3 linked regions of the Danio rerio genome follow. The protein of the gene in region 3 purifies or fractionates together with the protein of the main gene of each other region. This does not show direct contact. Links are inferred from orthologs where the notes say so. Each region holds a gene or a part of one and is shown on either strand. Other genes may lie near its edges.

Evidence for each region.
Region 1: the proteins of actr2b (region 3) and arpc1a purify together in Homo sapiens (affinity purification with mass spectrometry; 9 studies listed by BioGRID and IntAct, counting the BioPlex papers as one, with this or other methods). This does not show direct contact. The link is inferred for Danio rerio from reciprocal best matches to the Homo sapiens genes ACTR2 and ARPC1A.
Region 2: the proteins of actr2b (region 3) and churc1 purify together in Homo sapiens (affinity purification with mass spectrometry; 4 studies listed by BioGRID and IntAct, with this or other methods). This does not show direct contact. The link is inferred for Danio rerio from reciprocal best matches to the Homo sapiens genes ACTR2 and CHURC1.

The regions. Positions count from the first base shown.
Region 1 is NC_133178.1:39,749,370-39,753,695, reverse strand, and holds the start of arpc1a (actin-related protein 2/3 complex subunit 1A), read right to left. Parts: upstream 2,857-4,326; 5' UTR 2,686-2,856; intron 1-2,685. UniProt on the Homo sapiens protein: Probably functions as a component of the Arp2/3 complex which is involved in regulation of actin polymerization and together with an activating nucleation-promoting factor (NPF) mediates the formation of branched actin networks.
Region 2 is NC_133195.1:28,615,786-28,619,951, reverse strand, and holds the start of churc1 (protein Churchill), read left to right. Parts: upstream 1-1,260; 5' UTR 1,261-1,318; coding exon 1,319-1,357; intron 1,358-1,872; exon of another isoform or gene 1,873-1,927; intron 1,928-2,084; exon of another isoform or gene 2,085-2,161; intron 2,162-2,234; exon of another isoform or gene 2,235-2,289; intron 2,290-3,015; exon of another isoform or gene 3,016-3,097; intron 3,098-4,166. UniProt on the Homo sapiens protein: Transcriptional activator that mediates FGF signaling during neural development. Plays a role in the regulation of cell movement.
Region 3 is NC_133188.1:6,002,807-6,006,460, forward strand, and holds part of actr2b (actin-related protein 2-B), read right to left. Parts: intron 2,512-3,654; coding exon 2,401-2,511; intron 951-2,400; coding exon of another isoform or gene 936-950; intron 1-935. UniProt on the Homo sapiens protein: ATP-binding component of the Arp2/3 complex, a multiprotein complex that mediates actin polymerization upon stimulation by nucleation-promoting factor (NPF).

The sequences.
Region 1 (4,326 bases), on a different chromosome or scaffold from region 3:
CCCCCACATTAATTTAACTGCAAAGTGCAAAGCCTACTAAGTAGTAGTAGTATTAAATAATAATGATAATATAACGGTAGCCTAATCACCTAAGACACCCCCATTCGAATAATTAGACTTTACCTGCTACAACACAGGTGTCAAAGCCAGTTCCTGGAGGGCCGCAGCTCTGCACAGTTTAGTTTCAACCCTAATTAAACACACCTGATCAAACTAATTGAGTCCTTCAGGCTCGTTTGAAACCTCCAAATAGGTGTGTTGAAGCAGGGTTGGAACTAAACTCTGCAGGGCTCCGGCCCTCCAGGAATTGACTTTGACACCACTGTGCTACACGGTTTGTTTTTTTGATCGGTCAACAAGCTTAACATGCCAAAATGCCAAACTGCCTGGTGCACAGGGGAGGCAAAAAAGAAAAAGAAGAGGAAGAAAAACTTGACAACGACAGAATAATGTTACGATAAAGATGATTATTTTGCTGTATCCAAGCGATGATTGATACACCATTACCAATTAGCATGACACATACCTGTCAACCCTCCCGTTTTTGCCCACTATCACTTTAATTTTTTCCATATTTCCCCCGTTTAATCTTTATATGAAAAGTGAAAGTAGCATCAATACAGAGCCGATCTCAAATGTGAAAGAATTGCAAGAGCTGGTGAAGATAATTAGCCATGCTTTCGCTTTATTTTGGCTTGAAAGCATGATAAAATTAATATAAAGATTCTGCATTCACTTCTTTTCATTAAAGCTGGTATCGATTGTCGCAACCACATTCAGTGCATCTGTATGCATGCTAACTTATTGACGCACTCCGTATGATAAACTGTTCCCAGATCAGCTTCTCTACACGCCATTTGTAAAGGAGCGAAAGTTTAGGATACTTTGGTGATTCGGGTGTGCGTTTAAACAGACAAATACCCTTAATAATGTGTAAACATGTTCGTTCGGCGTGTTTTATTTTAAACACAAATAATTTTTCTCTTAAATGAGCACAAACAGTTACTAAAGAAGACAAATGCTTTCATTATAGATCAGTGCATTCTTAAAGTAACACCTCTGTTATCAAACAAAACACAATGAGAGATTCATTTGCAGCTCTTCACTAAATAACTAGTAACTTTAATCAATATGCAAATACAATCAAAAGTGAAGGAGATTTTATAGCTTTATTTAATTTCAGTATAGGCCATTGATTTTAATAGGCTAAACCTTTTACTTTATTGTCAATATTTTCTAATATTTACTATGTATTTATTTGAAGCTATTTGTTGACAGGTATGGCATAACATGGTTGCTAATCAATAAATAGCTATAGTGCTATCTGTTAGTTTTAACATCAGCTAATGTTATGGAAGGGCATAGATGTTATGGAAAATAGTAATAGTAATGTAACTACCCCCATCATTCCTTCCTCAAGCAAATGTGTAAATATTAGATATTCAGCAATATTGTTGATTGCTTGGCATATTTATCTGACGTTTTCCCAGCTTGTAGTAGTCGATCAAAAAGCTATTTAGTTTCTTATGACTATATGTACACACTAGCAGTGGAATTTTACTGCGATGTGACAGGGCGCCACCTGAAATCTTGCCTAGGCCGCCAAATTGGTTAGAGCCGGGCCTGACTTTATGCATCTCATGATGTCATAGTTTTTTATTTGTAAGTTACTTAACTTCTACTCTTTATTTATTTTAACATTATTCTTTTTTATTATTTATACATTTTTTACAGCAATCTTATATTTAACTTCTGTTATTACAGAACAAGTCTACCTGGGTGGGGATTCGGTTTTGTTTTACGATATAGTCATATGCTGTGTCCTTTCTATATTAAACAAAAACTGAAATAATAAAACAACTGTTCACACAAATAATAATACCATGACTATTAATGTTTCTAAACAAGCAAATGCAAAACCTGGAATGGGATTGGAGTGGGTCGAATATGAACAATAGGCGGGAAAGATATACTGACACAAGCTGATCCAGTCCTGTTTTTAACGCGATCCTACTTTAGTGACACGCCAAGATTTATGTTTTTGCTTTTTTATTTAGCAGAAAAGAAATGATTAAATATTAGAACTTCACATTTTGATTAAACTTATGTCTCTCAACTTTAATTCCCTCCTAATTACTTCTTTTTCCGAGTATGCGCTCTGGAATTTCTTGTAAATAGCTTTAAATTTGCTCTAAACTACCCAAACCAGCACTGATAAACTGACAGCCCGGGGCTAAATCACGTCCGTCAGTCCATGTCCTCAACTACACCTACACAGTTTTTCGTTTGAATTCACACACTAAAGCCAAAAAGAGTCCTCTTCAACCAGCAAAACAGGATGACGGCTGTCAGTTCCCGATTTTCAGGGCGTGGATGAAGCAGAAGATCAATATCTGATGCCGTGGGCTTCTGTTCGCGAGCTGTCTGCCTGCTACATTAGCCGAAAGCTAACGCGAAAAACACATCAATTCCAGTACAATCACACAGAAAGCAGAAAAAACGACCCCGGATATAAAGCTAAAAGTCTGTATAACCTTATATAATCGCAAACGCTATTTTAGCGCGACTGAAGTTACACAAATGTTCGTGCTCTGTTAAATTTGAGGATCAGGAAGGCCTTTCTCAAGATGCCGGTTGAGTCCGCTCCCTGCTGACGGAAAAAGGCATGACACGGGCCTCCTTTACCTGAACAGATGCTCCGCTTTCTCGGTCAAATCTTCGTAAAGATGTTCGCTAGTTGTTGAACGCTGGACGGACTTGAATTCGCGGACTCTGGACAGTCGACACGAATTCACTCCGACTGCTCTCTTGCTCCCTGATTTCGGCCTGTCAAGGAATCCAGGAAATGGCACACGGCTTAGCGCGCATGCGTACGCACGGCAGAGCAGTGGGCGTGCCCGTGTTGAAGTCATTCAGGAGACAATGGTGAGAGATGGGAGTGTGTGTGTGAGCAGGACAGGCTCCACAGGTCACACAGGAGAGTGCAGATTTTGATCGCGATGAAAAATAATTTTATAACTTTTCTTTCTGGACAGTTCTAAAGATAAAAAGTTGTTGTAAATTTACACTCTCTGGCAAATCAAGGTAACTTTTTGGTGATTTATTAAAAAGATAGTTTACCCAAACATGACAATATCCTCATTATTTTTGTGGTTTTTATTTTTTTCTTCTGTTGAACGAAATTAATGAAGAATGTGGGCGGAAAGCAGCCATTGGCATCCATAGTAGTCGTCATTGGGTACACTTAGTACACACCCTGAAATAAAGAAATAACTCACTCAGTAATAAAGGTACAGGAGCTGTCACTGGGGTAGTACCCTTTCAAAAGATACATATTTGTACCCAAAAAGTCCACAGTGGTACCTCAAATGTGCATATTTGTGCCCAAATGTACCTAAAAATTACCTTTGAAGTATCATAATTGACCCTTCAGGTACAGATATACCCTTTGAAAAGGTACTGCCCCACTGACAGTTCCTGTACCTTTATTTCTGAGAGTGCAGAGTACAATAAAATATTTTTTTTTTACAATCCTATTTGCTGAAATAAAAGAAACAATCAACAATTGTGTTCTCAAGATTGTCAGAATGTGGAAGAAATACTGTGAGACTAAAAAGGCAGCCAGAAGAGAGATTAACATCAAATTTACTCTGTCCATAGACGCTGCACTGTAAACGATTTCTTGTTAAATTAACAGTAAGTTACTGGCAACAATTATCCAGTAGCTGCTGTATTTCATAAAACAGTAACATTACTGTTATACTAATTACATTAGTATTACATTTACTGTAAAATGTAATACATCATTTTACTGTTGTTGATTTTTACTGTAACACTAATTACAGTAGTGGTGCACATACTGCAAAACTGAAAACAGTATTTTATTGTACATTTTTACCATGAAGAACTACGGTATCTTAACGTTACTTTCATTATTACTGTATAGTATTTTACAGTTATTAAATGTTATTTTATTATATTTAACAGTGCTACTTTATAATGGGTAAAAAATTTTCAAAAATTGCACAAGTGTTGTTCTAACTGTTCAAGACGTACAAGAAAAATAAAGAAACTAAAACTTTAACTTCACAATAAAGGTTTATTGTGTAAACCATGCTAAAACAGTAGCAGTAATTCAATATAACAGAGCAACAGAACACTAATAAACAATTGATCATTAAAACCAGTCAACAATTAATGCATCAAAAATTATTACAATTTTAAAAACAGGTGAAAATACTGCTACAAGACAGGAAATGATGAAGGCCAAATGATGTGGAAAGGGACAGTGAAAAAGGGCAGCAGCATGATGATGATCCTGCAAAA
Region 2 (4,166 bases), on a different chromosome or scaffold from region 3:
AAGTTAGTGTGCAGAAAAAAAAAACATGTGAGAAAAAAGCGCGTTTATAGCAAGGCAATCTTTAGAAAAGTTTATTTATTTATTTATCTATTGTTGATATTTTAATTAACTTTTATCTTTTTATAATATAATAAAAAGTGTTACTAGTATTAAATAACAAAAAGCAGAAATCTTGTTTATGTAAAATAATATTGAACATTTTCTTTATTATTATCATTTATTTGTTCTCAAGATTGCTTTTGCTATACATAGGCAATACTTATAATGTGATATGTGTATTTAGATGTAATGATTTTTTTTCTTTCTAAATATTAACATTATTTATTTTAATACCACAGTATAGGTATCAGTGTTGGTATTGTTAAAATGGGTATTGTTTGTTGTTGTATAAAAAAGTATTGGAACCATATTGAAAAGAAAAAAGAAAAACAGTATCACTCATCCCCAATGTGGCACGCTAGGTTATTAGTATCTGACTGTATGTTATTAACAATATTGGTGAGTATTTTTTCCCCAATTCAATTTAGCTTTATTTGTATGGCGCTTTTACAATGCAGATTGTGTCAAAGCAGCTTCGCATAAATGGTCATAGTAACTGGAACAGGGTAGTTCAGTTTAAGTGTTTAAGTTCAGTTCAGTTTAGCTCAGTTCAGTGTGGTTTAAAATCACTACAGAGAGTCCAAACACTTAAGAGCAAATTCATCGATGCGTAGCTCTACCGATTTTGTAACTTGTTTTTATTCTATTATCTTATCTGTTTTCATTAAGCATGTACTTGAAGTTTTAGTAATTATGTTTTTGCTATTTATATTTATTTTTGCGGTAGTAAAACATGCATTTAGTCTTTAGTAATTTGTATTCTAGATTTTAGTTTAGATTGTTGGGTGTTTCCCAGTGATTGGTTTGCCGCTGGAAGGGCATCCGCTGTGTAAAACATATGCTGGATAAGTTGGTGGTTCATTCCGCTGCATGTGTCGACCCCTAATTAATAAAGGGACTCAGCTAAAAAGAAAGCGAATTAATTTTAGTTTGGTTTTGGATGAAAATACATTAACATTTATTTATTTGTATAGAGGGGTCACGGTAGAAACATTTTTGAATCTCTAAGATTCAATAAAACCGTTTTTTAATACGAAAAACATTTTAATATTCAAAAGAACCTGTTTTCTTCTAAAAAGAGAACCCTTAGTGGATAAAGTCTGAGGGTGGCGCTGCTCACAAATCATACAGAGAGTTCACCTCACCGAAGAATGCAAACACGGAAGCGTCTTCTGATCTGGACTATACTGTACATATTTTTACATCTGTCTGATCAGAAATGTGTACCGGTTGTGTCCAGAAGCAATATCCCGACAGGGTGAGTTATGATCATCTGTGACTGCAACAACTCATGCACATCTGTCGCTTGCTATTTTTCTTTCTATGTGCTGGTTGCTGGTTTTCAGCCAACATCACTGTGCTGTTTGCGCCATGGTCATTTCAAAAGTTTGATGCCTTAATGCTAGCCCAACAAACACATATCCGTTGTAGCGATGTCTGCACAACGTTGTATTTTTTTAAAGGGAACGTTGTCTCTTACGTGCTCGCTACATTGTCACAACGTAGAAATGTAAGACGTGAGAAGGCTGTAGCAACGTTGTCGTGCGACATTCAGCAACCGCGAGGCGGCGTTCTTACTACTTGTATTAATATTTTTTTGTGGCAGTTTATCAATACTGCCTAGAATACAGGATAAGCAACAATTCTTTTCCAGTATTGCTAAATATGAAATATTATTCATTTATTTTACCAAAATTACATACAATTAAATAAATTTAGAGATACAGGGAAAACAGGTTTGAGTTAACAGAAGTCAGAGTTAGTCTCTGAATACTTACTTAAATTATGAGAAGAGAAAGAACAGGCCCTGTAGTTGTGGCGTTGCTCGCTATAAATGGAATGTTAAACTTAGTGTCATTTCAATAACAGCTGTACAAAATAATAAAGTAATTTTTCATAAGCATGATCTATTTTCCACATTATGGACATGCTGTTTTAGGTAACATAACTACATTTAATAGTAAATAGAGTAGTATACTTCTTACCTCATCCAATTCTTCTTTCCATAGATCAGGAATTACAGCAACACTGATCTGAGGTGAATTCAACAGCTGAAAACATTCTGAAAGACAAGTTACATAAGTAATTTGAAAACAACAGTGAGTGGTTAAACAATAGAGTTTTATGCAACTTACGCATAATTAAAATCCAGAAATTATCAATAGAAGATTACCTCCATGTAAAAATAGCCTGTTGAGTAAAGAAAAGAGTGGGTTTTAAATAAAACATTAAAAGACCAATTAAAATAGAAATTTAGACTAGCAGACCTTTTAATTACTATCTATATTAATTAGGCATATGAACATTAATTTATATACTTTAACTTGTAGGGATAGCTCACCCAAAACTGACAATTCTGCCATTTAAGCCTCATCCTTTATTTGTTGCAAACTTATTTAGCTTTTTTTCTGCTAAACAATAAAGAAGATATATTAAATAAAGCTGGAAAACTGTAACTGTAATTCCATAGTGTTTTCCTACTATGAAAGCAAATGCTTACAGTCTTTAGTGTTCAACAGAATAAAGAAACTTAAAGGTTTGGAATCACTTATTATTTACAGGGCAAATAATTCGTGAGTACATATCATTTTTAAATTAACTGTTCCTTTAACGGGACGCAATCTACACAGAGATGTTTTGTTTTTAAAAGTTATTTTGTGTGTTTTGTAAATAGTGGGTCGGCTCGTGTGATGAAGTATCATACTAACTGATCACGATAGATATGGAAAAAAATGAACTTCAAAAACATTATTGTCCATTTGATTAAAGACAAGGCGTAGGTAAATAATCAGGAAATGTTTTATCGAGAGATTTAACATGTGATGTTGGAAAAGATTGTTGTCGAAATCGTAGGTTTGTTTGAATATTCACGATTTACGTATCTTATTTAGCAAGAAGAAATAAAGCAATACTCACGTCTCCTCGGTCGTTGATGAATGAGACGACGGCTTGTTGAAATTTAAACTGATTCAGCTGTGACCAGTAAATGTTGTACAGTGGTCGTCCACGCCACCTAAGCACAACCTAAAGCATGCGACCCTCATGATGTTTAAATGGCAACCTTATGACATCGTTGTGAACACCTTTAGCAACAACGTAGAATCCTCAACCTTTTTGCAATGTTGGTACAACGTTGTAGGAAGGTCGCTACGTTGAGGCAACGTTGTGTGTTTGTTGGGAGGTTGTTTATTCGCTGTCCTTTAAAGCAGCTACATTTAATGGAAGAAACTGAAGGTAAGTATAATTTAAAAAACAATTGCCTTGCTTCCTTGGGTGTTTACTTTGAGAAATCTAGATATGATTATTATTATTATTATTATTATTACATTTTACAAGTTTCAAAAAACGTCACTTGTAGATATGCAAATAAGTTATAATTTAATTAAACATGCAGTAATTTGCATGCATTTCTTGCGCAAAAATTAACACACACACATATATATATATATATATATATATATATATATATATATATATATATATTTTTTTTTTTTTTTTTTTTTTTTACTCAGAGTGGGTATCTGTTTTTATTATTATGCTTGAAAAGCATACAAAATACCATGTAACAGTAAGAGGATAAATCATTGTACAATTACAAAAAAGTCAAAATATCAGCAAGAAAACAGAGAGAAAAATGTAATAATAATAATACAAAATATATAAATAATTCTAGCAGTTCATTCTAAAGTGGCGACCCCAGATTAATAAAGGGTCTAAGCTGAAAAGAAAATGAATGAATAAATTCAATTAAAAAAATAAAACAGAGGGGGGGCACTCTTTAAAAAAGATCTTCAGTTTAAGGGCTTTTTTATAATGCATAAGCTTCAAGAAGACCTAGAGTGGGTATCTTTTGTCACTTTATTACTAAGAAAATACTGCAAACAGCCAGAAGTGTTTTGTTATATATAGAAAATGTTTTTCTGTCTGTGCCAGTGCGTGGTTAGTGCGTAGACACATGCACTCTCGTGCTCTTGGTGACCCGAGTTCGATTCCCGCCTTGCAGTGCTATGCGAATCCTTCATCTCTCTCTGCTCTTCATGATTTATTGTCAATAATCTCTACTGTCC
Region 3 (3,654 bases):
TATACAGGAATCAGAATGAAATTCGAAACATTTTAAGACCTTTTTAAAGACTCTGCCCATACATTAAGACCTCATCGCCAACATTTTAACTTGCAGTATATTTATATATATATATACTCTCTATTTCAGAGGTCACTTTCTCTATTTTCTATTTCAGAGGTCACCACAGAGGAATGAGCTGCCAACTATTCTAACATATGTTTTATGCAGCGCGTGCCCTTCCAGTCGCAACCCAGTACTGGGAAACACCTATAAACACTTTATAAATTATTTATAGTCATTATAAAATTACTATCATATGGTTGTATCAATGCAAATGATAAATAATAAAAAAAAATAATAATAAAAAAAAATAATAATAATAATAAACTGCTTGGTTAAACTAAAATTATAAATGTATTGATATAAAATAGTGCTTCTCCAAATGAAATAATTCTCAAATAACCTAAATCAAATAAAAAAGTGAAGGTGAATTCTCTTTTTATAAAATAAAAATACATTTCAAATTAGCAATTGGTAACATGATGGTACAACTATTTCAGTCATTTGAAAAAAACAATTAAATAAAAGCAATTAATTAAACATTTGCTCCATGGAGGAAGAGAATTCTGCTACATGTGAGTCACAATTACATTTAGATAAGCTACTTTAGAAGCATGTTGAAGTTTCTGATTTGTTTGTTTTCTTTTGTTCATTCCACTGTGGTGACCCCTGATAAATAAGGGACTAAGCTGAAGGAAAATGATTGAATAAATGTTTTGCTAAATCACCCAGCCATGGTTATAAGGCATTAGAGATTTTACAAAACAAATAAAAGAACTAAAAAACCCTAAAGACAGGCAACTATATGAACACGCCTGAAATACGGCAAGGTGCAACACAATCTCCTCAGCAGGCGGTAAGTGTTAAACACAGCGCACGCAGACTGCACTTACCATCTTTTTGTTATTCTACTTCACCATGTGAAGAACCAGAAGAAAAAGAGCGTAAATATGACAAGAAATTCAAATAGGAGACGTTAAAGACTTTCTTTCAAATAACAAAGCAAATTAAATTTTAAAAGTAGTTCCTACTGTTGAAGACAAAACTATTTGCCCTCCTGAGAATGACTGAATCAATCAATTAATCAATCAATCAATCAATCAATCAATCAATCAATCAATCAATCAATCTATCTATCTATCTATCTATCTATCTATCTATCTATCTATCTATCTATCTATCTATCCACCCATCCACATCCATCCATCCATCCATCCATCCATCTTAAGTGCTGTTTAATAGAGAGAAACATTTCAACACATTTGTTAAATTAAACATAATGATTTTAATACCTCTTTTTCTAATAACTAAATAATTTTGTCTTTGCCATGATGACAGTACAAAATATTTTACTGGATATTTTGCAAGATACTAGAGTAATTTGAAGGCTTAACCAGGTTAATTAGGTTAACCAGGCAAGTTCCATTAATTAATCATTGGACAACAGTGGTTTGTTCTGCAACCAAATGGATTTTTTATGTTTTGCGTTAACTTATTAATATAATTAATTATTATTTTATCAAATGTTAAGGCAGCTGTTTTTTAGTATATAATATTTTCAAACTATGTTAAAACACTGGCTCTACACATACTGGGAAGCCATAGGTCACAAGCGGTAGGGTGATTGTTTAGTATTGGCTTGAGAAAGGCATCATCTCACTTCTCAACCAATGAAAACATTTGCGGCGGGGCTAGGACAGTCGCTGCTGCCATGATATGAACAGGATGGTACAAAAATTATGGATCAAAATGGTAAACTCTTAAATGCAAATTTTCAGTTTAAAACACTTCCAAACTGCTATAAATAAATAAATAAATAAATAAATAAATAAATAAATAAATAAATAAATAAATAATTAAAATAAAAATTTTAACTGTAAAATGTTATGGGACTGTTATGTTTTTGTACTTGTTCATACACTTACTCGGTACTTTTAAAATAAAAGTACACTTCTTTTGAAATCACTATTGATTTTTGTGCATAATGTGATTAATCACATATAACCTTGTGAATATTCACAATTTGAAAAATGTATCGTTGCCCAGCAATACTTATAATATTAACCTTATGTATACATTTTTTAAAATGTTTTTATTATTTATTTTTTTTATTCAGCCAAAGCAAATGAAATACAACTTTCTTCAGAAGAAAAATATAAAAGGAGATACTGTGAAAAATGTAAAAGATCACTTGGGAAATATTTGAAAAAGAATTCAAATTTCACAGGAGGGCTCATAAATTTGTCTTCAACAGTAAACAAAGGCATAAAAGCACAGAAATCTCTGACATTATTTAAAAAAAACAAACAAACGCCATGTTAATTATGTGACCTGGCAGAGTGTGAATGTGGAGCTCACCTTAATCTCAATGTTGCCCACTTTAGCTGTGGATCGGATGATAGGTCGGCCCACCAGTGCCGGGAAGATGTGCTCTGGGAAGTTGGACCCAGCGTAGCCACATTTCACAAACTGATGGAATAAGAGAGAGAAAGACAGAACATTTTGTGATGAATACTGTGATCATCCAGCAAAATAAAAGTACATGTATGACTACATTATTAATATTTATAATCTACACTATAATTTGAGTTGTGGTTTTTAGGTGACTTTTTGAACAACAAACAACCATATATTATACCTTTGTTTTCAAATAAAAAAATTAAATGAACAAAAATGAAATTCACCACTAGATGGCGTGTATTCACAACAAACAAAAGTGTAGTTTGATGACTGCATGACTGGGTGTAGAATCATGCGAGTTGCTGTAGAGTAAGGTTGAAAGCAGTCAAACACTGAAGCAAATGCTGATGAGAGATGAGTGTGACTCGGCAGGAAAGCAGCAGAGCTTTGCTGCTTTCCAGTCTGCAAAAACCTCTGTAGTCCTATGCATATAAAAGTACTTTAGGAGGAGCACAGTGGCTCAGTGGTTAACACTGTCACCTCACAGCAAGAATGTTGCTGGTTTGAGTCCCGGCTGGGTCAGTTGGCATTTCTGTGTGGAGTTTGCATGTTCTCCGCGTGTTGTCATGGACTTCCTCCGGGTGCTCCGGTTTACCCCACATGTGGCATGGGTGAACTGGATGATCTAAATTGGCCTTAGTGCATGAGTGTGTGTGTGTGTGTGAATGCCAAAGTGTATGGGTGTTTCCCAGTACTGGGTTAAGACTGGAAGAGCATCCACTGCATGAAACATACTGTACATTGCAGACTCAACATTGCAGATCCTGTAGCAAAAAAATATATAAAAAATAAATAATAATAATAATATTTTTTTTTTTAAATTGCAATATATTTTGTTCAGCTCTAATCCAACTGCAGAATTTAAAATAATAAATAATGACGTCATTTTAATGTGCAATATACTCTCTTAGTATTTTCTATATTTAAAAGAGCTCCAAATAATTGCATTGTTGCATTTATACATACAAAACTAGCTAAAACAACACAATTCTTGAAGTTTTTTTATTTTTTTTTTATGGGACATCTTAATTGTTTTGTTCAATCAATTTAAAGGGTCACGAAACACCAAAACACATTTTTTGAGCTGTTAATAGTCGTATATGTGTCCCACACTGCTAAAAACACTATTAGGACACCTATATTTCACTAAAA